3 linked regions of the Drosophila melanogaster genome follow. The gene in region 2 interacts genetically with the main gene of each other region. Each region holds a gene or a part of one and is shown on either strand. Other genes may lie near its edges. The genes, in order: run, Bro and lz.

Region 1 (10,277 bases), on a different chromosome or scaffold from region 2:
GTATCAAAACCGAATTGCAAAAGGATAAGCAAAAATAATGATAAAATCTTTAAGATAAAGTGATCAATGCAATCATTTCAAAACAGACTGATCATTTAAAGTTGAGCTTAAAAATGGCATTAGTTATTTAAGATCATAACTAGTTAGTGTTGGCAAATGTTTTCAAAACTATGAATATTGTAATTGAAGATATGCAAACGGTTTCTGAATTGGTTTTTTGGGGATCTTTGGGAGTGGATTAAACTGAAAACATAATGGAAACTAAAAAACTCACTTTGCTTACTTCTTGGCTCCCGTGGCCCGTCGACGGTCACCTTGATGGCTTTGCTGTAGCTGGCGATCTGCACCGGATAGGTGGCAATGGTGATGGTCAGCGTGAAGGACTTGCCGCGTCCCGATCGTCCCACGAAGCGCAGATCGTTGAACTTGGCCACCTGGTTCTTCATGGTCGTGGTGCAGTTCCTCAGCTCGCCGCAGTAGTTTTCGTCGTTGCCGCACTTGATGGACACCAGGGTGCCATCGGGCACGTCGTCCAGGGCGATCACCTTGAAGGCTCCGGGCAGCGACTTGTTCGACCGCCAGTGATTGGGCAGGGCGCTGCAGAGGATCGAGGGCGATCCGGTCTGGGCCAGCTCGCCGTGATACTCCTGCAGCATCTCGTGCAGGCTGGCGAACATGTCGGTCATCGAGCTGGGCATCTTGGCGGAGTTCTGCGGACTGGTGGTGGCGTTGCTGCTCGAGCTGGTGTTGTTCGTGCTGAGATCTGGTGTGGAGCTGCCCGTGCTGCTGGCCGAGTGGGTGCTCGTGTTGGCCAGACTCTGGGCGGGATTGATGGCGATTGCGGAGGCGGTGGTGGCATTGCTACTCTGCTGCGGCCCAGGACCCTGGGCTACCGCGGCCGCTGCGGCGGCTGCTGCGGCGGCGGCAGCGGCCAGGACCTGTGTGTTGTTGGCCACCATCGTTGGACCCGCTGGCAGATGCATCTCGTATCCGAATGTGGAAATCGTAGCCGTAATCCTGGGGCTGTCGACAATTGCCGGTTTTCTATTGCGGATTCTCGGTATGCACTTCACTTTATCGGGGGTCACTTGGAAAAAATTCGTTTGTTTGTTGTTATTGGATTGTTTCGCGATTTCGAACTCTGCTTCTTTCGAGCCTGTTTCTGTTTTCCAAAGTCGAAAACGATATATTTCTCTGTGCGTTCTCGACACGCTAAAGTCGCTGAGTGAACTGATTCTCTGCTGCGATCGTTGGCAGTATTTAAAGTGGAATGCGCTGCTCGCCGCCTCTGTCGACGGCTCTGCCGGCGTTTGTGCCCCGTCCCACTTGCACGGCGCTAGCGCCGTCTCTTTCCCGCCCATTATCCTGGGCGGTATGGTGGTGTGGTTGGCTACCTACGCACACAGGCGCGCCTTTAAGGGTGCCGGGGCAGGTATATATCGGTATATCGAGCAACCACCATTGCCGCCGCAACAACAACCACAGCAAAAAATTTCCCATTTTTCCATTGCGGTCTCTCTGTGTGTTTGTGTGTGTGTGTGTGTTTGGCTGTCGTGTTAGTGTGCCTGTGTACGTGAGAGAGAAGTCGCTTGTTACTTGTGGCCAAAAAGGAAAAAATAACAGCGGAAAAAAGGAAAATCGCATGGGCGAGAGCGAGAAAGAGAGAGAGAGAGTGATGGCCTGGAAATTGCACCAAAGAAAAACTCAAAAAAGAAATACACCGAGACTTTTCCACTCTCTCGCTCTGGCTCTCGCTTCCTCTCTCGCTTTTCCCCACGGGCGGTCTGGAAATTGTGTGCGTTTTCCTTTTCTTCGCTTTGAATTTTATTTTTTCGCCACGCACGCCAAAAGAAAAACGGCCGTGCAACAGTTTCCCATTTTCCACTTCCAGCGGCGCGCGTGTTTTGGCGGCCCTCCTGCGGAGGGGTTCGTCGAGGGGGGCGGGGGCGGGTGGTACAGGTAGGCACCCATGGCCAAACGGGGGGTTCCCTTCACCATCTCCTTCTCGTTCCCTTGCCTTCCCTTTCCCGAGTAGCTAGGATGCCAGGGGCGTCCTGCCGACAGGACATGAGGACTCAATTAGTCAGTGCGAGGAGGGATCAGGTTGCGAAATTATCATAAATATTATCACAAGCATCAGGAGAGCTATATCACTATGACTTTGGGATAAAAGGATTTAAGCCTTTTAATTTCATGGGTGATACGATTGTGGAGTTTGGAAAATTTTGGAACATGGGATTTTCAATTATGATAATAATCTATAGTACATATAGTACACACTATCCCATACTATCATAAGATGAATTATATTTTCCTTTATATTTGTATTTATTATCATATATTTAATTGCTTTCGAAGGTATCTTATCGATTAAGATGAAGATGCCGAAAAAAATATAATAAATATAATAATATATATATATATATATATATAATATATATATCAACATAAGCACGATATTTTAAATACATCATTATTAGTGCTACAAATCGTTTTAATAATCTGTTCAAAAAACTAATCATTTCCAGTGTTAATTTTTTTTTTTTTGAATATGCATCAACGTTATCCATATAATTTCATTTCAAATAAGTTAAGTTAAGTAATTTAAGATCAGATCTAATTAATAAACATATACACGTGCATAACAGTGCGTCCCATTGTTCGAAAATGTCCCAAAAATTAGTGTTTCATTCAAAATAATCAGAAATCCCCGGCTGATCATATTACGGCACACTGATCCCTCAGTGTTGCTCAATGTTTTTCTCGATTCCGCCCAAAATTTACTTTATCGCCGATCTCGGAACTCGGAACTCGATCAACTGATCTGCAATCTCCGATCTGAATCTGTCCAACTAACACCCATTGTCAGGTCCGGTCCACTTCCAGTACTATCTAAGATGCAGTGCCATCGATCTCTCCGGGGATCGAACTTAATCCTAATGCTGATCGGGCGATTATCCTGCGATTAGTCCTGTAAATATTTGTGCGCCTCTCAGTTCGTGTGGCGCAATCCGGCTCGATTTCATTTCCATTTTCGCTGCCTGCGATCGCCGATCCTTGATTGGATCAGGTTTAGCTAGCTGATCGGATTTAATCTGATGCGGAAGTGTCATACTTGGAAGAACATCGAGTATCTTTGGCTGCCTACATTGAACTCTCTTCAAACTAATCTACGTTTACTTAGGTTTTAAGATTTGTACATTTTGCTTAGCGATTGGCTAAGTGATTAGCACATACATAGATAGTAATTCAGATTACGAAACTTAGCTTCAAAAACGAAATATGAACGATTTAATTAACTTAATGTAAAATGGATTAACTGTGTATTAATTCTTAAGAGCTGCTGAATAACACTTGACACTTGACTTGACAATTTAAAGTAATATTCTCAATTCCTTCAACACTCATTTCGTGCAGTGGAACGCAAATCAAGTGCCTGACTGGCCAAAAAATTGCGGCCCACCAAAACAACCTTAAAAACGAGGCCACACAGGACCCGCGAGTTTTCCGAGGTGGCGGACTCTTCCAGGCACCGCGTGGAGGAGGAGGAGAAGGAATGGGGAGCATGGCCATTCTGGTAGGGGAACTACGAGGCAAGACCAACCAAAATGTCGCGAGAACGCGCCGCTCTCAGCTGGACATTATAGACGCACACTTCCAGTAAATCCAGTGTATCGGCAGCGCTGCCTTTTGTACGTGCGCGGCCGCTCGCTGCGAAGGACCTCGTGTCCCTACACCGATTTCACACCATATAGCCCCGGGATATATGGCAGGACAGCGCAGGTTTAGCGGGCGTGCGACAAGGACGCGATTGCCGATGGCCGATTGACGATTGCCGGTTTCCCGGGAAATCAGCGCTCCTGTCGTCGCTTCTTGGATCCTGCTGCGATTCCTTGGCAATTTGCGACAGGAGCTGCCGCAGCACGCGCATCGCAGGACCCGCAGGACCGCCTCATAGGGATCACCGAGCACCAGGCAGTACCTGATCTCCATACCGAACTCGCTACGAGCCCACAGCAGCCAAAAGGATCAACCCTTTTTTTATGGGCCCTCCGATGCTTTTTTGCGGCCCCAAAAAAGTGGGAAAACTATGGGTTTACTGGCTTTGACGTACCTGGCCCTCAGATGTACCATCGCATGTACTGATATCGCACCTCAAAACAGGTAGTCCAACCGCGCAATCTTAATCCTTTGCTTATGAAAGTCAATCGCCCGGATTAAGCAGCACGCCCCGCAAATATTTTGGCCGATTAGCCGCCGCCACGGGCCATAAAATATGTTCCCAAAAAATAAGCAACGAGCATCTGATACGGAAAGTGCCTACCTGGCCACCAAAAACTCAAAGGACTTCGCTTTTTAGCGGGATTAACCGATGGGAGATTAAGGCGACAGTAACCTGTATTCATGTACTCAATATATGCAATGTTTTTCTCACTGCTGTTGAGCAGTTAATTTAAAACAAAAAAGAGCGAGGCTTAATTAGCTGAATTTACTTCTGTACTTCACCATAAAAAATCACTCCCGACTATTTCTTAGTGCAGATATTTTTTGTACAGTAGTTTAGTACGCAAGCTACTTGAATCTGTAAGATACGGTTTCATCTATGCAAATGTCGTGAGCGGTAAATAAAACTTCCAGTGCGATTAAAAGCTTCTGTACTTACCGATCTTACGCAATCTGAACTATATCTTAGTGCAGATTATTTAGAAAAGTATTTTAGTAATCAATCTACGATACAGGCTGCTAACTGTGAGATACGATTTCACTTATGCAAATACCGTGACGTTCCTGAATAAATTTCCTCGAAATGAATGGGTATCAGAACTACGATCTGTGCATTCCGCACCTCCGAGGAACGGACAAACCAGTACTCCGTTCATCCCCCAATCACCACGGCGATCAGTTGAATTATTCATATACGTGCGCAAGATCCCTCCCCCTCGCAGAAAGAGACGGCACCAGGCGAACGAAAGAGAGGCACCTACGCTCGAGGGGCTGGGGTAACCGCAGAGATCGGCCAACCGTTGGCGAGCAGATGCTACGGAAATAGCTGACATCCAAGAGGGGATGATTTATTAGTAGGGCGATCGTTATGGGAGAGAACGAGACGGCTGCGCCGATCGTGGCTCCGCCTCTCCTCATGGAGCTCCTCGCACAACCGTTATCCAGGCTATACTGAATGCACAGGGATCCCAGGAGCCAGGAGCCATTGACCACGGAGAACCCCAGAACCCCCAACAAAAATTACCGACAGAGAGCGGAAAACTCTGGCACCGTGGAAATTCCAGTGGCGCAGGGGAAATGCTCACTGCCACAGGAGAATAAAAAACAAAAGCGACTGCCAATCGAGGAACATTTTTGTACCCTTCGGTGTTTGGTTAGTTTAACTATTTCAAATGACAAGTGAACAATAACAATATTGATGCGTTTTTGAAACGATTATAACGACGAAAAACTGTTTTAACTAAGCATCTGTATAAAGTGAAACTGAAATTCAATTTAAATTATTTAATTTAAGCATGAAACATATTTTGTAGTAAAAAATTAAATATCTTTTAATAGCTCAAAAGCGTTTATAATAAATACAATAATCAATTTATTCAACAAATATTTGTAAAGTATTATAAAACGTGCATAAATGTTTTGTTTTTTTTTTTTAGGGAAAACAAACTTATTATTTCGTTATGAATATATTTGAAAATATACTGAAAAGTGTATTTAACAATTTGTGCCGCCAATTTGCGCATTCTTCTTTATTTACAAAAGGCAGCAGTGGAAAAGCGGAAAAGCGGGCAGCGCGGCGGCAGCGGACCGACTGCGACTGCGGCTGCGGCGTTGTGTAAGTGAATTGTGGTTTGTTGTTTTGGTTGTGGCGCTGGCAGTGCTGCCGGCAGCGACGTCGGCAGCGACGTCGGCAGCGGCTTCCGACCGCTCCTCCCCATCCCCCTCCCCCGCTGGCGACGTCATTCAACCCTCGGAAAAAATTACACCACAGCCGGTTCACCACTTTCCATTGGAAAACGCTTGTTTGAGTGATTTTTTTTCTGCGTTCTGGGGGTGTTTTTTATTTTCTTTCGTGTGGTGAAAAACGGGGAATGAGTGTGTTTCGGGTTTCCTTCTGTTTTTCTTTTTACCTTTTCCTTTTTTTTTTTTTTTTGGTTTTCTTTTTTTTTTTATTCTTTGCCTTTGCGACACTCCCACAAAATTGTGTTTTGGTTAGGTGGCCATGCATTGGCTGGCTTTCCACCGTTTTCCACACACTTTTCCGACTGCCAGCTGTTCTTTGGCCCGTGTGCGCTACTCCATCTTGGCCGAATCCCAGGATCCTTGGATTGCTTGGGACACATGTCATGGATTTTTCAGCGATCATTTGTGCTCCTTGTGTGCACATACATATATATTTCCTCAGTTTTCGTTGACTTGGCCCCTCTCTATTTACTTAAGAACAATGGATTTTTGGCAGGAACGATCCGTAACCATTTTGAATGGACTTTCTTTTGGGCCCGCGACAATTAGCCAAGGGAAAATGGAAGAGGCGAAAATTGGTGGGGGAAAATATGCAGCTGTCCGATCGGCGTTGAAATCCTAATGATCTCTGGCGATTGTTACACATGTCCCCTACAAATTGTTTACAAAAAACTCCCGAAAAAACGGGAAACAGTAAAGAAAAGTCGGAGGAGTGTGCAAGTTGTTTACATTTGTTGGCACAACAAAGGTTCTTCGGTTATGTTTTGGGCTGTTTTTGATCAAAGGACACTTTTCGTGATCATCGGCATCGTTTTATATTATCTTTTGATATTTATAGTAAGTTTTCCATCAATACGAATCATGTGATTTATGGTTTTTCATTCGAGACCTGCCTGTTTTTTCCTATTTTAAATTTACTGAAAGTGTTGATAGGGGATCATTTCTTTATTCTGTTTATTTTTGTTTTGAGTACAAAACTGAATTTTGAAATGCCTAAAACGGGTTAGCTCTCAACGCATCGGCCGCCCTCTGCAGAAGGTCGATCTGTCCTCGATTAAATACGTTTTCCCACCAACCGATCCTCCATTTTATAATGCCTCCCCACCCCCTTTTGTTATTATGAAACCCGCTTTCCCATGCCTCCCCGGCGCTAACTTCTGAACTGCAACTTTTGGCTTTGTAAATGGGTATATATTGTACATACTTAGATATATCGAAATCGCGGCTATATACAGCCAGCACGCTCCGCACACACACATGCCCTCGAACTTCCGATGGGCAGACAATGTGCAGATTAGAGCTGGAAATCCGTTAAGTCCGCCCGAGGAGTGCGTCCTTAATGCGATTGCGACCCCTTTTGGATAGCGGGCAGGAAGCCAGGAACCAGTTTTTAGATCTGTTCCCATTTGATATGTAAAAAACGCACTCCGGCTGGGTATTTCGCATAATTGGCGGCCATTTTGAAGTGGCATATGCCGCGCCATTCGGTTGTAGGGTATCGCGTGGCATCGGTCGGCTTGAATGGTCGGAGGGAGACTTGGCTCCTCTGGTGAGCCTTCGTCCCCGGCTTTTCCTTGATTTTTTCCACATTTTTTGCATTTTCCTGCCATTTTCCCCACTTTTTCCAGCTGCATTGTGTTTTGCTCCCTTTTTCAGCAGTGGCTTAGACTACAGAAGGGGCTTTGCATATTGAATCGTTTTACATATCGTTAGTTAATAAGTTGGCTAATGATGAATTAAAAATTCATTTTATTTAAAAGAACTTATTTATTTCGAAAGGTGTTTCAAATATGCATATATGTACATAAATATTTCTTTATTTTCGTAATTCTTACAAAACTTAACCAGTTTTATTTAGGTCTTGGGTTAAGTTGCCTTAAACCCCAGAAAAAGGACGCCCCTGCTCGTTCGCGGCTCCATGACAACTCTTTTTTACCAAGCTTGTATTGCTCTCTCTGTCCGTTTGGCACGTCCCGTCTCTATCTGGCTGGAAAAACGGAGAGCGCGTCTTGGAAAACGCTCCTGTCCGCCGCACGTTTCATGTTTCAATTTTGTATTTCTTTTTTTCTTTTTTTGCTTGCCCCGTTCGCTTGGCATTTCCTTTTCCTTTCCACCCCGAAAAGCCAGACACCGAGTGGGTTAAAGGGGTGGTCTTCCGCCGGCACTGGTGGCGCGCGGGGGTTAAGGGCGGCGGCAGCTGCGGCCACAAAACTAGTTTGGCTTTGGCTTTGCCAGAGAGAGAGAGAGGTCCTTCGGCCTTCGGTCCTTTAGCCCTTTGGTGCTTGGGCGAACAGAGCGAGATGGCACGAGTGGGCGAACGGGGCGGGGGTTAAACCATATTTTCCACCCACTTTTCTGGTTTTTCCTCTGGTCGACCGTCTTAGCCCGCCAAGGGTTGCAAATCAAAACGCGGTTTGCTGGTTTGTATTTCTGGCCAAAGTCGTCGTAACTTTTCAAGCATCTCCGCGCAGGAAAGAGACGGGTTAACGGGTGCAAGAGAGACGGGAACAGAGCCAGGGATGTGAGGTTAAAAAATAAAACCGAGGAGGAAGCAACGCTCGACATTAAAGAGTTCTCAGCGCCATTATTGACACTTGGGTGCACCGAAAACAAAAACCAAAATTTGAATATACGTTTTAGATCGAATCGCTAACGAAGAACACTACTTACTTTTGGTAAAATGTTTTTGGCATTCATGTGCAAAATTGAATCTAAAACTAAACTAAAACTTGTCACTAATCTTAGTTAATAAGAACATATATACAAATATGACTTATTATCGAATAGAAAATGTAAACCATAACTTACATTAGTTGTATAAAACGTAGGCTATAGTATTTTTGAGCAATGTTTTGGGGGGTTAAGCCCCGGCACCCCATATCACACTTGCAGCCCCTCTCACTGGAAGTTGTCAACTTGTATGCATAATTGCCTTGAATTTTTATGCCCAGCTTGCGCAGTTTTTTACGCTCTCTCTTCTCCCCGTCTCTGTCACTCTCCTATATCGCTGTCTCTCTCTCTTGGGGCTTGGCCTGCCCGGCACTGTGGGGTTAAGCCATTTGTTTGCCGTTCTGTTGTTTGTGTGCAATTTTAGTTTGGGATTTTCGTGGCATTTTTGTGGCCTTTTGTCTGGTTAACCGTGGTTGGTTATTGGTCAACACCGAAAGAGATGGGGATATCGAGTGGGAATGAGAGGGCATGATAGGAAGCGAGTGGGTCAAAAGTTTGTCAATGGAGTAAACCGCTAAAAAAATATTAACTTGACCAAAAATGCTTGATTAACTCGCGTCTCGATTTAAATACGCACATTAAATCGAATGGCAAACAATGGAGGTCTGAAATACAATCATATGTACATACATACATATGTATACACGAATGACAACGTAGAGTTATGGCGAAAAATCAGGATGTCTATAATCGATGTACACATGGTACACAAAGGGGCAATGATGGACAAAAATGGCTTAATTTGTAATTCAATTTGTAATACTATGTAGACTCAAGAATGGTATCATCGGTGTGTAGAGTAGTTAACTTAAGCTTAAGCTACAGTGCAAATACTTGTATTCCTATTAATGTAGCCGTTTAATTAATAAAGGTAACCCAATGCAAACGGATATTTAATATTTACATTTAAATATTTCAATAGAACCCGTTTTACCCCAATTATATTATTTAGTATGTACATCCAAATATATCTGGCTTACGAGTATATGAACTACTTATCGTTATGCATCTTTACAAGATGTTGTACCAATAAAGCAATGAACCTTTAATTACTTTCCCATTGAACTTCTAAGGTAATTCACCGACCCTCAAACAAACTGCTCGACTTTTTTACACCTCAACCGCAGAAAATAGAAAGAAGGACACTGGGCGAAAAAAAAAGACGATCAGTGTGGACAAAGGACGATCGAAATTGTGGCTAAAAAGCCAAAGCCAAAGGACAATGGGCCGCATCCATAAAATGCTTGCTCCAGTTTTTTGACCAATTTTTAGTGCAGTTTTTTGTGAGGCCATCGTTTTTTCTATGGACCAACAAAGGCGCGGATCACTTCCAGCGAAGGACGAGGGATCCTGTGCAGCAATTATGCGGAAAAGCAGAGCAGGAATTCTCAACTTTGCTACAGTTTTTTCCTGCTCGCCCTCTGTTCTGCTTTATGGCCGGCTTGTTAAAAAAGAATCATAAAAATTATTTAGATCTAGATCAGGTCCTCAGCGAGGACCTCATAAATCTGCTGAGCTGACCTACAAATGGCGAAATTCCCAGAAGCCGCAGGACTTGCGTAATAATTTGCATTTTTTTC
Region 2 (9,498 bases):
CCCTACCAAAACACACCGGTCGCTAATTTTAGACGAATCTCTTAGCTTTTCGTGCCGATTCGGACGATGCGGAAAAATACGCGACCACCAGCAAATTGAGGCACACAATCCGAATGTTTTCAAGTTTTCAAATCGCTGCGGTATGTATAAGTTTATGAATTTTTAGTCCGCGGCGGCGTTCCCTTCACCTATTCCATTTTCACTCGACGCCTTTCCGCTTTCAGTTCGGAAAGAGACTGACTCGGATTCGGATTCAGATTCACATTCAGAGCAGTTGCAAAGTTTATTTCGGCAGCATCCCAAACGGAATGGCGGAAAATCAATACGTGCTCACGGGACCGGTGCTCTGGCCGCATCGAGAGTCAAGAGAGGACAGCCGCAGCCACAGCCGCGACAGGCCCACCCCGGAGAGTGGAGAGCACGGCGGAATGGCGGAACGGCAGCTGGACCCACTTCACCATCCTCGGGCAGTCGGCTCGGGTGGTGGTTGTTCCGAAAGTGGCGCAAATGAGGCCAAAGACCCCGGCTAGCAACCCTTAAGGAGGCCCAGATAAACAATCATTAGGTGAACATGAGTGGCTTTCGCCAAATGAATGACACACAAAACTCGGAAACTCCTTGTGAAATGAGAGTTTTAGTAATTGAGAGCAGATATTACCATTAGTGTATTAAACATAATCTCAGTATTATAAGAGCACGATCAATGGGTTTCAGATATTTATTGTTGATTTACTTAGATGTTACTTAAAGCTATGAGGGTAATATATAGCACTACCATCCCATTGGTCCTCTAGGCAGACCAGGCCCACCTCTGTGATGGTGATCCTCGGGTGGAGTCTGGGGCGTGTGGTAGATTCTCCTGGACTCAGCCATGCGCTGGTTGTAGCTTTGAATCTGCTCCTGCAGCTGAGCATCCTCCTGCTGGGCTCGTTGTTCATCGAACTCCAGGCAGGCAGCGCCATCCAGTCGGTCCAGATCCACCCAGCCCCGGAAGCGGACGCACACCCCGTTCATGATGAAACTAGAACGCAAATGAACTTTGCCCCGCTCCCGCTCGAAATCGCAATCCTGCTCCTGGGCGTACGGATTGTGGTTGGCGTTGAAGTAGAGCTGCAGATTAGTTCCTGAAGCTACCATCGATATCTCCGCATAGCCCTTGCGGCAGTCGTTGACAAACCGCATCCTGCGCTCCTCCATTGCACGTTCCCGGTATCCTGTGTAGCGAACCTCGCTCTCCCTACTCAATCGGCGGAAGAGCTCGTCGCTATCGAACTTGGACCTCTGGTCAGGCACCACGCGGGGCATCTTGAAGATGAATCTGGGCTTGGGCTGCTCGTACATAGCCATGGCTTCGTATGGCGGGATCATTCCATTCATGGCGGCCGCGTCTCCGAGATTCTGGTGATGATGCATGTCTAATGTTATAACTGTATTCTCCGAAAGATATAGTTGTACTGATCAATGTTAAAATTGACCGCCTTATTTAAACAAAAAAAAAAAGTTGTAGAACAGGTAATCGGGAGCGATTGGGCTACCTAACGAATCCCCTAATTGTCGCCTGGTAATCAAGGATGGAAACCATCTGGACACAATAAGGATCAGGTATAGCACTTATAAGTATCCTATTTGAGGTTTGTTTTATAATCCGTAGGGTTTTTACAGCTCCGAATATTATACTTTGAGGATTGCAGGTATAATGCTATCATAAATAAAACGAACGAATTGAACGCACTATATAATTTTAAGTTTAAATTCGAAATTACGTTTTAGCGGTAATTTTAACAGTGTTGGTTAGCACAGCGCTTAAGCAAAGGGAGTTGCCAACCATGGCAGCCCAAGCAGGTGACAACTCTAGAGTCCGGGCACATTAAACAGCTGTTGTGTATTGTATTGTTTAACTTTAGCAATTTTATAAACATGTCGCTTGTTGCTTATGCTGCCAGTTCTGATGAAGATTCGGAGAACGAAGAGGAAAATTCTGTACCACAAGTGGAAGTAATAAAACCCCAAGCCAAGCCGAGCACACCAAGTGAAGCGTATCTAGCTCGGGAATCAACCAGTGGTCACATTAGTGATGAAGATGACGACTACGTTCCCCAGGAAGTGTCCCTTCAGGAGTTAAAGCCGCCCAACGGAAGACTGCTATTAGCCTTACCCAAACCAAAAGTCACTGCTCCCGCTAAGGATCTGGAAAATGAGGATGTGGACAACCAGGTTACTTCCGCCTTTGCCAACCTGCCCATGCCACGAACAGCAGCGAAAGGAAAAGCCATTGTAGAGGAGAAAGACGATGAGTTTCTGCACAAAAAGGCGCTGCCCGTAGAAATAGAGAAACCTCCACCGCCGCCAGTCAAGGGAAAAGTAAAAATCAGCATTCCTTCACTAAGAGATTTCTCAGATGTAGACCAGGAGAAAGCTGACAGGGCTAAGAACAAAGTTGATAAGCCCAATGTACCCAAGGGATCGGGATTGTTGAGTCTGCTGCCCCAAGCAAAGTCGGAGCGCAACTTCTCCAAGAACTCTTCATCCGCGGTAGCCTACCCATCAGCCAGCACTACTCTTGCTTCCAGTCTAAGCAATAATCCTGCGCAGCCTCGAGCAGCACCAGCTTTTGTTCCCGATACAGTTAAGCAGCGACGAGCTGCACACAACACCGAAGGCGTAGATGGCCCTAAGGCCGGGCACAAGAAGAATCCTGAGACAAAAGACGCTTTGAAGTCAACAAAATCCAAACCTATAAGTAAACCCACTTCGCTGGTAAATGCCAGCGATAGTGAAGATGATGACGAAGATGGCACTGGAGACTTTTTCTCCCTGAATTCCGAGCAAAAGCTGCCTGAGGTGAGCAGCAACGAGATTAGCGCTCTAGTGGCCAAGCGAGCGGCCAAGATGGTGGAAGCCAGTAGCAAGTACCTAGAGGAGGTAGCCGAGAAGGAAGCAGCCGAAGCAGAAGCCGCCCGACTTCAGGAAGAGCAGTCTCAGATTGCACAAAAGCGCTACCATGAGCAACAGTTAAACGCAGAGGCCATGGACGCATTGGTGGGCAAAAATGCCAAGCGCCGGCGGAAGGAGGCCAAGGAGATGCAGGTGATCGACATATCTGGGTCTCAGGTGCTACCTGATCGCGAGGAATGGATGCGATCGGCTCTGGCTTCGTCCACCACCTTCCAACCGACCGGCGTGCTGACGGACGAGGAGCCGGTGGCAGGGACTCGGCGCAAGCACCAGATCACCTACCTGGCGCACAAGGCGAAGGCCAACGAAGCCGAGCTGCAGGCCATGTGGTCGGCCAACCGGCAGACCCGTCGGGCCACCCAAAGCAAATACGGCTTTTGAGTTTTCACTTTATGTACACCTAATCCTACAATATATGCTTAATATTACTGTATCCAGCCCTCTCGTTTTCCCAGCCTGCTGCCAACATAGAAGATGGCGGTGCTCAGCAGCAGGATGACCGGGGCAACGGTCACGTATATGGGAATCTGTTGCGGGTACTCCAGCGTTAGGCAGATCATCACTTGGGAGGCGATGGTCAGCAGGACGCCGGCAATGTTCCATTTGTAGAGGAACAGGAGATCCGTCAGGCAGGTTAGGTTCCGCCACTTGCGGATAAATTTAATGATCACGTAGATGATAATGATCACATCGAAGAACCAGAGTGGCGTAAAGGTGACGAACCAATTCCAGGTGGTGCGTGGGTCCAGGCGGAGACACAGAAGAATCAGGAAGACCAGGACGATAAACCAAGTGAAGAGCGCCCGGTGTGCCAGTGTCATCTTTGTCACTTATTTATATATTTTCCATGGTATTACAGAAAATAAACAAAGCGAAGTTACCGTGAATAGAATGCACTTTGTCCAGTGCTGTAAAACTACGATTACAGTGGTCACTAAAAGTGTTCGTAGAAATACATTTACCAACTCAATTTTCGAATATTATTGACGAAGATTAAATATATTCAAAAATATCACGTAAAATCTGTATATTTAACTATATAAAGAAGACTGGAGAGCATGATAATTCATTCATATTCATGTGTGTACTTTTGAAAACTTATGGTTCCCAGTGTATGCACATCTGCCAACGCTGGCAACACTGACTGGGTCGCGAAGAAGAAGATAATTGACGTGTCACAATTTCGACGATTGGTTGGTGTTTTTCATAAAATTAATTGTTGGCAGTATATTACGTGTTACTTGTAGCGTATCAATAAAATGGGTTTGTTCTAACACCCACCTCTTGATGTTTTGATACAGGCAAGTGCTCGAACCAGCAAAAAAAGGGCGCTTGACGGATAAGCCGACACCTAGAAGTGCATCCAATTTGAGACACCTACAGGCAGAACAGAAAAAGTGCCACCATGCTGACCAACTTCGAGTCGAAGTCGGCGAGGGTGAAGGGCCTCTCCTTCCACCCTAAGCGCCCCTGGATCCTGGTCAGCTTGCACAGCGGCGTCATCCAGCTGTGGGACTACCGGATGCACACGCTCCTCGAGAAGTTCGACGAGCACGACGGACCGGTGCGAGGCGTGGCCTTCCACCAGCAGATGCCGCTCTTCGTCTCTGGCGGCGACGACTACAAGATCAAGGTGTGGAACTACAAGCAACGCCGATGCATTTTTACCCTCCTGGCCCATTTGGACTATGTGCGCACGGTGGCTTTCCACCACGAATACCCATGGATTCTGAGCGCCTCCGACGATCAGACCATACGCATCTGGAACTGGCAGTCGCGCAACTGCATCTGCGTGCTGACGGGCCACAACCACTATGTGATGTGCGCCCAGTTCCATCCCACGGAGGATCAGATCGTTTCTGCTTCACTCGATCAGACGGTGCGCGTGTGGGACATTTCGGGGCTGCGTAAGAAGAACGTGGCTCCCGGGCCCGGTGGGCTTGATGACCACCTAAAGGGTCATCCGGGTGCCACTGATCTGTTTGGCCAAGCAGATGCCGTGGTCAAGCACGTGCTCGAGGGCCACGACCGTGGCGTCAACTGGGCCAGTTTCCATCCCACCCTGCCGCTGATTGTCTCCGGTGCCGATGATCGCCTTGTGAAGTTGTGGCGCATGAACGAGTACAAGGCTTGGGAGGTCGACACCTGTCGCGGTCACTACAACAACGTGTCCAGCGTGTTGTTCCATCCCAGGCAAGACCTGATTCTCTCCAACGGCGAAGATCGCAGTATTCGCGTCTGGGACATGACCAAGCGCCAGTGCCTCTTTACATTCCGGCGGGACAACGAGCGCTTCTGGATACTTACAGCGCATCCGACCCTGAATCTGTTTGCAGCTGGCCACGATGGAGGTTAGTTGATTTCTTTTAGGAATAGGAATTTTTTGTAATGATACATATTCTTTCAGGTATGGTGGTCTTTAAACTGGAGCGAGAGCGTCCTGCATATGCTGTCCACGGGAATATTCTCTACTACGTCAAGGAACGTTTCCTTCGCAAACTGGACTTTACCACCACTAAGGACACTGTGGTTATGCAGCTTCGACCAGGCAAGTCGCCGGTGTACAGCATGTCGTACAACCCAGCACTGAACGCCGTGCTAATCTGCACGCGCACCAACAACCTGGAGAACAGCACCTACGATCTTTGCCAAATCCCCAAGGACACCGAGAGCCAAAGTGAGTCGGACAGCAAGCGAAGCTCTGGAATCACGGCCATCTGGGTGGCACGCAATCGGTTTGCAGTGCTTGATCGCAACCAGCAGTTGGTGATCAAGAACTTCAAGAATGAGGTGACCAAGAAGTTGCCAACTTTCTGCGAGGAGATCTTCTATGCCGGTACGGGAATGCTGCTCATTCGGGACCCTGAGTTTGTCACACTGTACGAAGTTCAGCGCCTAGTCTCCGTTGGAAGCATTAAACTGGCCAAGTGCCGCTACGTGGTGTGGTCTCCGGACATGTCCTTGGTCGCTCTACTCTGCAAGCACTCGGTTACAATCTGCGACCGAAGACTTCAGTACTTGTGCACCGTGCAGGAGAACTGCCGCGTGAAGTCTGGCGCCTGGGACGAGTCTGGAGTGTTTATCTACACCACTAGCAACCACATTAAGTACGCCATTACAAACGGGGACCACGGCATCATCCGTACGCTGGACCTACCCATTTATCTGACACGCGTCAAGGGCAACCAAGTGTTCTGCTTGGACCGGGAGTGCCGCACCCGTGTGCTCCACATCGATCCTACGGAGTACAAGTTTAAGCTTGCCCTGATTCAACGCAAGTACGATGAAGTACTGCATATGGTGAGAAATGCCCGCCTAGTGGGTCAGAGCATCATTGCTTACCTGCAGCAAAAGGGTTATCCAGAGGTGGCACTGCATTTTGTCAAGGATGAGAAAACCCGATTTGGACTCGCTCTGGAGTGCGGTAACATCGAAATTGCTCTCGAAGCAGCCAAGGCTCTCGATGACAAGGATTGCTGGGATCGCCTGGGACAGAGTGCGCTGCTCCAAGGAAACCACCAGGTGGTAGAGATGTGCTACCAGCGGACCAAGAACTTTGACAAGCTTAGCTTCCTCTACCTGATCACCGGCAACTTGGAGAAGCTCAAGAAGATGAACAAGATTGCCGAGATTCGCAAGGATGTTTCCGCCCAGTACCAGGGTGCCCTCCTTCTCGGTGACGTCAAGGAGCGGGTAAACATCCTCAAAAACTGCGGACAACTTTCGTTAGCTTATCTCACAGCCGCTACTCATGGATTCGATGAGCTCACTGAGTCCCTGGGCGAATCGATAACCTCGCAGGGTAACAGCCTTCCCGAGGTGAATCCCAATGCCCAGTTGTTGCAGCCACCAGTGCCCATCCAGCAGCTTGAAACCAATTGGCCGTTGCTGTCCGTGTCCAAGGGCTTCTTTGAAGGCGCCATGGTCACCAGGGCTGGCTCCAGTGCCACTGCCCGACAGGCGCTGAACATCAACGCCGATGCTGCACTGTTGGACGAGCATAATGGTGGTGGAGATGGTTGGGGAGCGGATGCCGACTTGGGACTAGATGAAGACGGAGATGACGAGATGCACGACGCGCTGAGCAACGATGGCGATGGTGGTGCGGGTGGAGAGGAGGGTGCCGGCTGGGATGTGGGCGATGATGACCTGGTTGTGCCCGAGGAACTGGCCTCCAAGATCAAGGCCTCAGCCCTCGACAGCAACTACTATGCGGCTCCCAACAAAGGCTTGTCTCCTGCCCAACAATGGGCCAACAACTCGCCTCTGGTCCTGGACCATGTCAAGGCCGGATCATTCGAAACCGCCTTCCGTTTACTGCACGATCAGCTGGGAGTGGTCAATTTCCAGCCATTCAAGACACTCTTCCTGCAGAACTACGCCTGCTCTCGAACGAGCTACACGGCCAATCCGAATCTGCAATCCCTAAGTGGTTACCCACTTCGCAACTACTCCGAGACAAACATCAAGCTGCAGCGTCCTGCGGTTGGCATTAAACTGAATGATTTGGTGGCACGCCTGCAAGCTGGGTACCAACTGACAACTTCTGGAAAGTTCTCCGAGGCAGTAGAGAAGTTCCATTCCATCTTGATTAGCATCCCACTGCTGGTAGTGGACACGAAGCTAGATGCGGCGGAGGCCCAGCAACTCTTAAGGATCTGCGCTGAGTATATCGTTGGCCTGAAGATGGAGACTGTGCGCAAGGGCATGCCCAAGTCGACGCTTGAGGAGCAAAAGCGTCTGTGCGAGATGGCCGCCTACTTCACGCACTGCAAGCTTCAGCCCGTGCACCAAATCCTCACCCTGCGTACCGCCCTCAATATGTTCTTCAAGCTGAAGAACTACAAGACGGCCGCCTCATTTGCCCGTCGTCTCCTGGAACTGGCGCCACGACCGGACGTTGCCCAGCAGGTGCGCAAGATCCTGCAGGCCTGCGAGGTAAATCCCGTGGACGAGCATCAGCTGCAGTACGAGGAGTTTAATCCGTTCACAATCTGCGGCATCAGCTGGAAGCCACTGTATAGGGGTAAACCCGAAGTGACCTGTCCCTTCTGCTCCTCCTCTTTCGACCCTCAGTTCAAGGGCAATCTCTGCACAGTTTGCGAAGTGAGCCAGATCGGCAAGGATAGCATTGGCCTGCGCATTTCAAACCTGCAATTCCGCTAGGACGGACTAGCTTGTCGCTTTTAATATAAATGTTTCCAACACGCCGAGCGAGACCCCATAGTTTAGTTTTACACGATCCTTGCTTATTATGTATAAAGTTCAGTATCTGTATATTATAATGCTATAAAATCAAACCAAACGACTTGTTTTCTTGATCGATACCTAGCCTCGGTAGGCAATTCCCAGTGAAGAGTCTTAGTCACTCTGCTTAAAGGTGGAAATTCCAAAATGAACAATGCCATATAGATTAGTAATTATGTATTTTAGTTAAAGATACGACACTAATTTCACACTAAGTTGTAAGTATAATACCATAAAAGCATACGTAAAGTAAGCATTACATCTAACACTAATCTAGGAGCATAATTATTCGAGCGTGTCTAACGTAATCGTATTGAAATCTCTCAAGTGAAAGCCCTCTTAAGGGGTTCGGAGCATTCTCAGTTGTCCATGAAATATTGAGTATTCGCGAATTGAGTCTCTAACTGCTGGTGATGCGTCTGCTGCTGCTGGGGAGGCAGCTGCGGATGGGACGGCCCAGGAGCCGTCCACAGGTCCAACTAACGACGCCACATGCTGGCGCCAACGCCAATGCCTCCGGAGGCCACGCCCCGTCGCACTGCCTCCATCTCGTCCTGTCGATTGTCACGGTAGGCGCGCTTAGTGTCCTCGAACTCACGCAGTCGCTGGTTGTAGCGATCGATCTGATCCCGCAGAATGGCGTCCTCGTGCATGGCGCGCCGCTCGTCATACTCCAGACAGCCAACTCCGTCCAGTCGTTCCAGGTCTATCCATCCACGGAACCGGACACAAACCCCGTTCATGATAAAGTAGGACTTGATGTGCACCTTGCCGTGCTCCTTGTCAAAGTCGCACTCCTTGTCGTGCAGGTACGGGTTCTGGTTGGCGTTGAACACCAGCTGCAGATTGGTGCCCGATGCCACGAAGCTGGCCTCCGTGTGTCCTTCGCGACATCCGTTCATGAAGCGCACCTGCCGCTCCTCGATGCTTCGTTCCCGATAGCCCGTGTACCGAACCTCGCTCTCCCGACTGAGCCTCCGGAAAAGTTCGTCGCTCTCGAACTTGGACTTCTGGTCCGGGACCACACGAGGCATCTTGAAGATGAAGCGCGGCTTTGGCTGTTCATACAATCCGATGGTGTCGTAGGGTATCATATTGGCAAGTGCCGCCTCGTTCATCATTTTAACGGGTTTTCGCGATTCGTCCGCTCGATGGAACGCTGAATAGGGTATGTTTCTATGGGTGCTTCTGCAGACCGCTGCGTGCACACAATAATCCCTGGAACTCGGTACCCTGGATGGGTTTCTTTTGGTCGCTCCTTCGACGAGCCTTCTGCGTATACACAATAAGCTCTTG
Region 3 (10,277 bases), on a different chromosome or scaffold from region 2:
ATAATCGGCATTTGGCAAAGGAAGTGCTGATTGCAGTGCTCGAGGAAGTCTTTAATTTTCAGAAATGTTATATAGTCAACCAAAACACAAAGGTGATATAAAGTGCTATAAAGTATATAAGTTATATATAGATCATTTTCATCAGTTATTAGAAATTACTATATATTATCCTGATCTGATCCTGATTCACAGAAGATAGTTAGTTTACCAACTCCTTTCTTTTTCACACCGCCTACCGTTTGCACTTCTTCTCTCCATTTTAGCTTATAATTCCCAAGTGACCGTTCGGACAGCACTGCAACTCACCTCTTCCGCTGCGTCCCACGAAACGCAGATCATTGAACTTGGCCACGTCGTTCTTCATCTGGGTGGTGAAGTTGCGCAGCTCCGCGCAGCAATTCTCATCGTTTCCCGCCCGGATGGTGACATAGGTGCCATCGCCCACTTCCGCCAGAGCGACGACCTTGAAGGCCATCGGCAGCGTCTTGTTGGAGCGCCAATGGGCGGGCAGGGCGGAGCACAGGAAGTACGGATTGCTCGTGCGCACTGGAAAATGAAGAAAGTGGGTAAAAAAAAAAAAAAATCAGGATAAATCAGTTTGGTTTTAATTAGCCAAGGGTTCGCTGATTAAAATCACATTTTCACGGCCATCAAAAATATTCAATTATTTATAGTTTCGTGTCGGTCCATAAATATCAATCATCGTGGATACTGAACACTGGATGCAGGATGCTGGATACTGGGTCCTTCGACCATCGACTCGCCATCCGGCGGTGCATAATTAATTAATGAGCGGGGAGATGTCAAACGGAACGGAACGAACGGACCGGACCGGAAGGGGTTATCGGTTATCAGATGACGTTTGACTGTTGACCTGGTGTCGAAAGTAGAGCAAAGTGTGGAGAGCTGGGCTGGCTGAATAAATGATTTATTTACTCGCGACTGGCGCGCAAAATAGACCGAAATATGGACATCTAATTGCTGATAATCATTAAATTTAATTTGTCACACCGCTGTAGGTTTGGAAATCATGTTTTACATAGGTGTCAGGAATCAAATGTGCGCTGCCCTGAAAACCAAACTGTGTAATAATAAATTGTAATAGACTAGGCACATCCAGATCCTGATTGAATCCCATAGGTACGATACTAACTCAAATGGAATGGAATATAAATATTACTTTAAGACAAGAGTGTAAAGTCCTGATAGTTGCAATTCGATATGAAGGCTATCCATTGAGCACAAGTTATGAAAGGACTCAGAAGTGAAAAAAAAAATCATATAGGATAACCAGTTTGCGGATTCCCCAGCTAATTTCAAGACTGACGGTGCGATGAGCTGAGATTTCATTAGCAGCTTTCGCTCTGGGTCATTGATATCATTGATAAATCGGGAGGAAAGTTCAACGGGCAGCAAGGAATAAGAAAAAAAAAAAAAAGGTGGCATTAACAAAATAAAAAAGGGGAACGACTCGTGCGTTGATATCAATAACAATTATTGATATCAATTTACGCATATTCCGACGGCGATGCCAGTCCCATCTTCACTGGCATCACCATCATCATCGCCATCGGTATCATCATCACGATCATCATACCCATGGAATCCGATAAGGCTGCGTCCGATGATCGTGATTGCCACGATGTGGAAGCCCCAGAAGTGCATTGTGCAAGGATGTGGCAAGAATGTGCGCTCCACCTTTCGGGGATCGGATTATCGAACAGACCTGCAAAGCATCCACCAGATCCCCTCGACACGAGCTAAAGATGCTGATACCTTGTGAATGGAAGAGCTGTCTCCGCAGAGGCTTGCCTTGATATATATATCTATCTATCAATCTTATATTCATAAGATATATTATATCAAGAACCATAGATCATATTGGGAATCTGGTAGCAAAGAATTTGCTATTTACAGTTAGTAAGCTAAATCCCTCTGTTCAATCAATTTTGTTCACGGGAAATTACAAATCCAGTTAGACTATATCTTCATATTCACTTTGATTTTGAAGGACATTAAGGTAGCTATTAATCCTTAACCCTTTTGCAGACTGTGTTACTACTAGGTTATTGGTAATATCCCACCAACAACTCACCCAATTCGCCGGGATGTTCCTGTTGTCGCTTCTGTACCAATCGCTCCATCCACAATAGATCCTGGTGAACGGCGTTGTTATTGTTGCTATTGCTATTGCTGGCACCGTTGTTGTTGTTGTTGCTGGCGGTACTACTGCTGTGACCGCCGGTGTGTCCACTATGCCCACTATGGGCTGTACCATTGCTGGCGCCACCTGTGGGCGAGCTGCTGCCAACACTGGCACTACTCGAAACGGCCAAAACCTCAGCGGCTGTGGCGCCCGTGGATGCAGTGGCGCCCTGGGTGGCACCACCTACGCCGCCGCCAGTGGCCGTCGCCACCGCTGTGATGCCCTTGAAGTCGCCGGTGGAGCTGCTCCAGCCGTTGCCCGTCGGCGATGTGGATGACGATGTGACCATGGCCGGCGGATGTGGTCCTGCCGGCGGATACGGATACGGTGGGTGGTGGTGGTGGTGGTGGTGGGGCGCGTGCGGATGCGGTGGGTGGTAGGGGTGGGCGTGGTGGTACGGTGAGTAGTGGTGGTGCAGGTGGTGATGGTGGTGGCTGCCGCCGCTGCCGTTGATGCTGCGACCCAGGCGGCCGGGACCGGCAACGCTGACGGGCGCCACAGTGGTGCTGTGGTCCGCCACCAATTCCTGGCCCAGTCCCAATCCCAAGCCCAGTCCCAATCCGAGTCCGAGTCCGTATCCGGAAGCCAATGGCAAGCCCAGCTGCAATTGCGATTCCGTTTGCGATGCCAAGTCCAATTGCGACTCCCCAGCAGCGCCCGTATGCCCAGATGGAGATGCTGATGGAGTTGGAGTTGGATTTGGAGATGGAGATGGAGGCGTCTTCTCTGCCGCCAGGAGATGCAAATGCATTCGTCGACGGCGGTGACCTTTGATCCGCTCGCTTGCCCCTTTTTTTCTTGCAGTGTGTGCGGGTCGCAGGTCAAGCGCTTATCACACTTCGCTCCGGCGGTGTCTTTTGTTCACTCATCAATAAACTCTAATCTCTAAACGAATTCACAGAAAAAAAAAAGCGTACTTAACAATTGTTTGCAATTGCACTTACGATATGAGAAAGATTCGTGTTTAATTGAAAACTTAAAATGCCGATCGATTCATTAAAAACAATCCATGACAACATCTCAAATTTGTTTCATATTAAGCAATTTAATTAAAGTACATATAGAAACAGTTCACTGGCGTACGTTTAAATAAAGAAATAATTGCAAAAAACAATATATATAAATTTAAAAAATGATTAAAAATATGTTTGCCTTTCTGAATACATATTAAATAACTGCGAGTACTACGACGATCGACATTTTGCTAGTTCGCACTTTGATAAATTAGTCACAGGAATTAGCGGTGCATTTGTTGCTATTGTTGTTTTTTCTTTCTCTTTTTTGAGCATGCTTTTGCCAGATGATTTCTGAACTTAATTAAATTTGATTTCGTTTGATTTGGATATTTTTATTGTTTGCACTTCACTCGGCTAATTAGTAATACTCTATGTTTGACTCCCGATTCGCAGACGGGCCTCCTTTTCTCGAGTTTAACTTTGATGATATTTCTGGGAATCGGTGTAAAAACAATATAGTACAATATAAACATTTAATGTTCACAACTGATCTCCCAAGTAATCATAAATGGTTGTAAAAGAGTCAGTTATTTGTTTATTCAAACAATGTATAAGAAGCTTTTACAATTACTATTGTATATTATTTGTTTGAGAACAAGCAACAAAGTAAACAAATTATTTCACAGTCGCAAAATAAAGCCTTAAAAAATATGAACTTAAGTTTTTGTCATAAAAACATTGCCTTAATTCGTTTGTGTCACCATTTATCACTTTTATTTTGTTACTAACTGCACTTAATAGCACTTTGGTTTGTGTTTAGTTTAATGTAAAACTGTTTAACAATATGTTTGAATGCAAGTTTCTGGCGAAACTGTGTCGCTCTTTTGTTTAAATTTAGTTGGTGACGAAATTCGAGTTAATAACTAAAAGTTAGCCGATTTTGGCGCGCTTTTTGTTTACTACTTTGTTTAACACTTACACACACACTTAGTTTACTTTCTTCGGTATTTCTTTAAGTGACTTAAGCACAAGTTACAAAAAAAAAGGGTTAACACGTAAGCGAGGTGTTATTTTCTTGTGTTTCTTTCAGTCGATTAAAAACTTCGCTAACAATGGAAACAATAATGCTCGCGCGTCGTACTCCAAAACATAACTGAAACTGACTTTTAACTTTTGACTGCGCCGCTTGAATTTCGCGAGACGATTGAGCTCGGCTCTGAGTCGAATCCAATCGTTTTTCCACTTGCCTCGCGAGCCAATTGGAACGAGAACGACTCTCTTTGGCCGGGGCGTTTTGGGTCTCTTAAGTTGCTCGCTCTCTCTCTCTCTCTCTCTCTCTTGCTCTTCTGTAAATGCATGGCCTAGTATGTGCATTGTGACAAGTCACCATTCCACGCAGTGCTGTTGCATCAAATTTTTAATAAATTTCGCTAAAAATAATAGAATTTAAATGCTTAATCAAATAAACAGTTGCTCTCCCTCTCGCTCGCTCCTGCGTTTCCCTTGCACTTGGCACCGCCCCCGGATTCTGATTGGTCAGGTGGACATGGCATTTGAGGCGCGCCATTGGTGGACACATTTTCATCCACCACCGGCTGCAACCACTTCCAATTGGAATCGCATTTAAGCGCGCTCTCTTTAATCAGCTGAGAGCGTGACGACTTAAGAGCGGCGCTCTTGTTCAGCCGGGAAATTTCGAAAATATTTAGGAGCTGGATATGATTAGATTTTCATGAGAAAATAAATAAGTTGTGTTTTTTTTTTTATTATTTTATTTAAAATTTAACATACATGTATTTAAAACGCACTTATGGAAAATTGTATTCATATAGATACATTTTGGATATTAGAGATGAAAATCAGAGAATCTACTTTAAAACTGATACTTAACATGCTTATCAAATCTGCTATTATCGCAAAAAGTGTTAATTAAAAACTGTGTGTTGTTGCTAGCGCAAAGAAAACAAGGATTCCAAATGACATGTGTTCTTTTTAGCGAAGGAAAGGCGTGATAAGAGACTATCATTGGGCCATATTTTGTGGTTCAGCCTTGGTTTGTGGTCGAAATACTGATATCGAATTAAAATAACAACGCAGAGTTCTTATGATTTTAAAAAGTGTTTATTTTAAATTTACCTCCGACTTATCACATCGAAGGGAAATAGTTCTTATCGCTGGGAATATAATAGCGTGAGAAGAACGTCAGCTTATCTGCGAGGGCAGAAATTGCGAGAAAATCAAATGTCTATGCTATTTAATTTCAGAAGTGCTATCAAGTGATTAAAATTAAGCATTTCAATTGCTCTCAAATACTTTCAAAACTACCTCAAAAGCGTTTTTTCCTTTAATATTGTATTAGTATGCTGTACTGCCTGTGTAGCTTAAAATTTAAAATTTACTTAATTGCTAATTCCGTATAATAAAACGAGACTGTATGCATAACTATTATTTTATACACAGTACATTTGAATTTCATTTTTATGGTCATCTATGGTTTGCGCCACCACTGAACAGTGAGGGCACACACCATGTTCGGAAGCCCAACTAGTCCATGGTGTTGATAAAAAACGTACTAAAATTTCCACAGCCGTTTTTCCCCTATGTGAGTGCAGCCACCCGTTTTAAACACAAACAATTTCGCAACGCAGTGAATCTCTTGTTTTTCCGAGTTTTTCCGCGATCGCGAAGTGCGCGTTAAAGTTAATCGCTGTCTGAAATCCCGTTAAGCTGGAGAAGTGGAAGAGAACGCGCAATTCCACCAAGAAGATGGACGGCCGAGGGGTTGGCGGCGGTGGTAGTGGTGCTGCCACAGGGGGAGGATCCGCCAACAACAAATCAGCTGCTGGAAATAGCGCCGCCACTGGAAATGCCGATGCATCTACCGCCACAGCGGCGCCCAATGATAAGCCAACGATTCTGGAAGGTAAGCAAACGAAAATGCAAATGAAAATGAAAACAAAGGGAACACTGCCTAATCCCATAGATAAAGATAAAGATAAAGATGGACCCATGGAATCTTTTATTAGAAAGCGCACACACACACAAGCACAAGTGCTGAGAGCGATTTAGCGTGAAATGGGCGTTTTGCCCGTCCACCCCACCCACTCCAATTGGGATTTGTGATTAGGCGAAGCGCAGTCTTTTGTCCTGTTCTAAAAATAGAACTACGCATTAGGCACAACGCACACATGAGCGCCCAAAAGTAACGGGGAATCCTTTTAGCGAAAGGAGAGCAGCTAAATAACTCTATTTTCGTATCTATGTACGTGTGTATTATGGGGACCTGTTGAGTGTGTGAAGCCCTAAAAAATCATCTAGAACACGTTTATGAGCAAGACAAATCAATACAACAACATTTCACAATTACACCCACAAATTGCACTCAATTCGATTTGATTAATCATCTGCATGCGTAAGTGTGTGTTTTTTTTTGTTTTACAGCTAATTGTTGGAATAAGAACAAAAATAACATTGCAATGCGAAAAGTCCTCTAGAGTATCGCTTGTCCAGTCCAATTGGACTTTTGTATCTCTGGGATGACGTGTATTTTTGACCATCCCAATCAGCTGATTCCAGCATTTCGTTTGGTTTTTGCCATTTTCTAGCCTTTTTCATTTTATTGATAGATGCTTATATGATGTGAAGCTCTTTAATTTATGCGAATGCGTCAGACAATTTGAATTCTTATCAGAATATAAGTACTGAAAGTGCCCACAGTTGTGTTCAATGAAATAGGGGTATGCATTTTTCAATGTTGTAAAATGGCTCATATAATTTAATTCGAAATCAACCTATCATCCATTTAAATCCGTGAATCAATGTGGTTTTTGCCACTTCTGCTATCTTTGCAGTTTGTGCACCTTATGTAAATACGGCTCTATGTAGTGTTAACTTGACTTTGATCTAGTTACTCGTGTTACTGAGTGTAGTCCATTGTTCTGCTATTTGCTAGCTCTAGCTGAAATTAGTCATTTGTTTTAAACGATATCTTAGCTTTGACTTAACACAAGCCAACTAAATTTTGGATTATATTCCATATGATCTGATTTAAGAAATCAAATTTAAAACATTTGTTGCCCTTTTGCAGGCGTTCTCCACAACATCTTCGATGGGCTGATGGACAAGGAGGAGCAGGTGCGGATTGCCATGCAGCAGGCGATCGTGAAGATCTTGGAGACCCATCCGGAACGGGCTGCGGAGATCCTCAGCGAACATCGATCGCAGCAGCCGAAGATGACCGATCAAACAGTGGCCATGTTGTTGGAGTAGGTTTCCCTTTGACATCAGCAATTAAAAGCTGTTCTAATCCCTACCTTTCTATATTTCAGCTGCATTCGTCGCGTGGTGGGAGCGGAAACTCCTCTGCCGCCGGCTGCAAATCAGAAACTTATTGATCTTGCGCTGCAGGAGCTCACCAAGAATCCCGAGCATTTGCCACTCATACAGAATCCCGCCCAGCGCATCCTGGTAGCCATCGGACGGAGCAGCCCAGAGAGTTGTGAGCAGGTAATGGAGGCGCTCCAGGAGAAGGGAACAAGTACAGAAGGTGTGGCTCACTTTATGCTGATGCAGTGCCTCGGTCTGCTGGCCACTGAGAATCCGGCAGGGGTTGTGCCCCACATAAAGGCCATATTGAGCCGTAGTCAGCCGCATCTAGTCGGGATACGCCAGGATCACATCAAGCAGGCACATGCCTATGCCATCGGTAGATTCAGTGAGGCTCTACTGGAGGAGAGCGGCAAAAAGGAGGAGGAGAACTGCTCCACGGAGATCAGTGTGGCCTACGATGTGCTCTTCAATCAATGGCTGCACTCCCGGGAGCCAAAGGTTTGCGTGGAGATACTGCAGGCCCTGTCCAGCATGTATCCACTGCTGCCCAAAGACCGGATTCAGGATCAGGCCGCCCGATTGGTTCCCCAGATCCTGGCGCTCTATCGACGCAGCGTGGACAGGAATGCCGTGACGCAGTTCCTCTGCTCCGTGTTGAAAACGAATCTGGCACTAAATGCCACAGTCTTGGATGGCATAATTGACGTGTTGGTCACCCATTTGTTCGACCTGGTCTGCGTTTATCCGGACTATGAGAAACCGCAGACGGTGAAGGGTCACTACGAGGTGCTGCGTTGCTTCCACCTTCTGGCCGGTCATCAACCCTACTCCACGCGCATTATGGACACCCTGCTGATCCACCTGCGGAACAATAGCGAACGCGAGAGGATGAAGTCCCTGCTGATACTCACGCACCTACTCAACTCCTGTGCAGGGAATATAGAAAACCGGATTCCAGCCACCATTGAGTGCCTAAAGCAACTGATCCTCAGCGAAAGAGGGATCAAAATGAAGCTAACGCTGCTAAAAACCATTGTGGCTCTCGCCCAAAAGTCCCACATCCGGGACAAGGAGTTTGTGTGGTTCGTGGTGCGGCATAGTTGCCGATTCTCAAAGCCAAGTCAGGAGCACGGCAGCCAGGAGGAGCACGCCAATTTGGTGCTGAGCTGTGAGAACACCCTGTACATGCTGGCCTCTACGGTGGGCACCTTGGATGAGCTGCTCAAGAGGGAGCTGCTGAACTACTTGATCCTACTGGACTACACGGATATTTGCGGGAATCTCGCCAAGTGCCTGGCTAGTTTGTTTGCCAAATCTCCGCACATAGAGTACGATATTGCGGGAGACGATGCCGCCACGGAGCAAGCCACACCGGAGAGTATGGGCGCTGCTGGCGAGGATCGCAGTGTGATCAAGCGCGGAAAGGTTATGGTCCCTGGAGCCGAGACGATTTACGCAAGATGTCTGGCACTCCTGGGCAATCAGCAGTGCATTAAACGATGCTCGAATATTCTCAGTTTTCTGCGCTACTACCATCCTCAGGTGAATCCCGCCCTGGAGGAGCTGTGGGAGCGAAAAATTCCCGATCTTCTGCTGCAAATCAACAGGGAGAGTGCCTATCGCCAGCTACTCCACGATTTTGTGCTTGAAACGAATGAATTTCTGGGCGGATTGGATGAGAACTTTGCCCAGCGGCTGGCCAGTAAGCTGGCGGACCAGATGTACTTGTATCCCATGCAACTGCCCCACTCCGAGTGGCATTTGCCTGACCTTAGCGCCGAGCGAGGCATGCTCCTGCAGGCGGTGGCCCTCACCCTGCTTCAGGTGACCGATGTGGCCTGCATCCACACCAAGATCGATCTCATTGTGACGACTGCCAGGCAGGAAAGATTGGACAAGCACGTTAAGCATGCGGACTACGAAAAGCGCATTGAACCCTGTGCCAGAGCCTTGGGCTACATTTCCCGCCAACACTTGGGGCATCTGATCAAAAAGCTAACCGAACTGGCCCAAGTCGGTGGGCGAAAGCACTCCACCGGTTTCTTTAGCAATCTGCACTTTATCAAGGATACGCACAAGGAGCTAGAGAACTACAAGAGCAACCTGCTCGTGGTCAAGGCTTTTGGTCGCATCATGGACGAAGCCGATCCGTTGCAATCCATTCAACACCTGGACGAAGATGACACATTGCTGGGCTTCCTCATCCAACAGCTGGCCGTGCACAAGGACCAAACAATTATGTCGGCGATCCTGCAGACGCTGCTCAGCATCTGCAACCAGTTGATAGCCACCAAGGAGCAGCTGCCGGCTCCTCTGCGTCATCGCAAGCAGATCATGGAGACGGTCTTCAACATCCCCATCGAGGCGCCGTTCCACGACCTTCCCCTTCTGCCCACCATTCTCAAACTGGGCACGGACTTCATACGCATAGGTAAGGAATTTCTATTAACTAAATGTAAATCTTATCCTAATCCTTTCACTATTTGTAGGTGGACCCGATACCGAGGAGTGTGTGGACGGCGGGGTGATCTTCGAGATCGCGTGCCGCAACTTCTTCGGCTGTGCCCAGCAGCTCAAGATGAAGTTCGACTCTCAGGAGGAGGATGAGCGCAACAGCTTCCTGGCCAAGCACCTCAACGAATCGCTGCCGCAGTTGAATGCGCTTGTGAGGGCCATCGTTGAACTGGACGCCTCGCCGGCCACACTGGATCTGATTATTGGCATTCTAGAGGGCTGGACAAGGGATCGCAACTCTGAGGTGCGAATCTGTGCCAGCCATGTGTTTA

Evidence for each region.
Region 1: of Bro (region 2) and run, changing one suppresses a phenotype caused by changing the other (phenotypic suppression), as found in Drosophila melanogaster (one study listed by BioGRID).
Region 3: of Bro (region 2) and lz, changing one suppresses a phenotype caused by changing the other (phenotypic suppression), as found in Drosophila melanogaster (one study listed by BioGRID).

The regions. Positions count from the first base shown.
Region 1 is NC_004354.4:20,685,399-20,695,675, reverse strand, and holds the start of run (runt), read right to left. Parts: upstream 5,007-10,277; 5' UTR 4,664-5,006; intron 1,566-4,663; 5' UTR 984-1,565; coding exon 275-983; intron 1-274. UniProt on the Drosophila melanogaster protein: Plays a pivotal role in regulating the expression of other pair-rule genes such as eve, ftz, and h.
Region 2 is NT_037436.4:1,639,820-1,649,317, reverse strand, and holds Bro (brother), read right to left. Parts: upstream 1,450-9,498; 5' UTR 1,414-1,449; coding exon 772-1,413; 3' UTR 706-771; downstream 1-705. Other genes in the region: CG17249 (uncharacterized protein), read left to right, coding at 1,918-3,336; CG13919 (uncharacterized protein), read right to left, coding at 3,381-3,776; alphaCOP (coat protein (coatomer) alpha), read left to right, coding at 4,361-5,306, 5,363-8,121; Bgb (Big brother), read right to left, coding at 8,682-9,323. UniProt on the Drosophila melanogaster protein: Regulates the DNA-binding properties of Runt.
Region 3 is NC_004354.4:9,278,601-9,288,877, reverse strand, and holds the start of lz (lozenge), read right to left. Parts: upstream 4,230-10,277; 5' UTR 4,142-4,229; intron 3,092-4,141; 5' UTR 2,958-3,091; coding exon 2,096-2,957; intron 547-2,095; coding exon 307-546; intron 1-306. Other genes in the region: c11.1, read left to right, coding at 5,929-6,085, 7,250-7,427, 7,491-9,922, 9,981-10,277. UniProt on the Drosophila melanogaster protein: Involved in prepatterning photoreceptor precursors in the developing eye; in the larval eye disk it defines a subset of cells as an equipotential group that is competent to respond to the sevenless developmental signal and another subset that confer proper photoreceptor identity by positively regulating the homeo box gene Bar.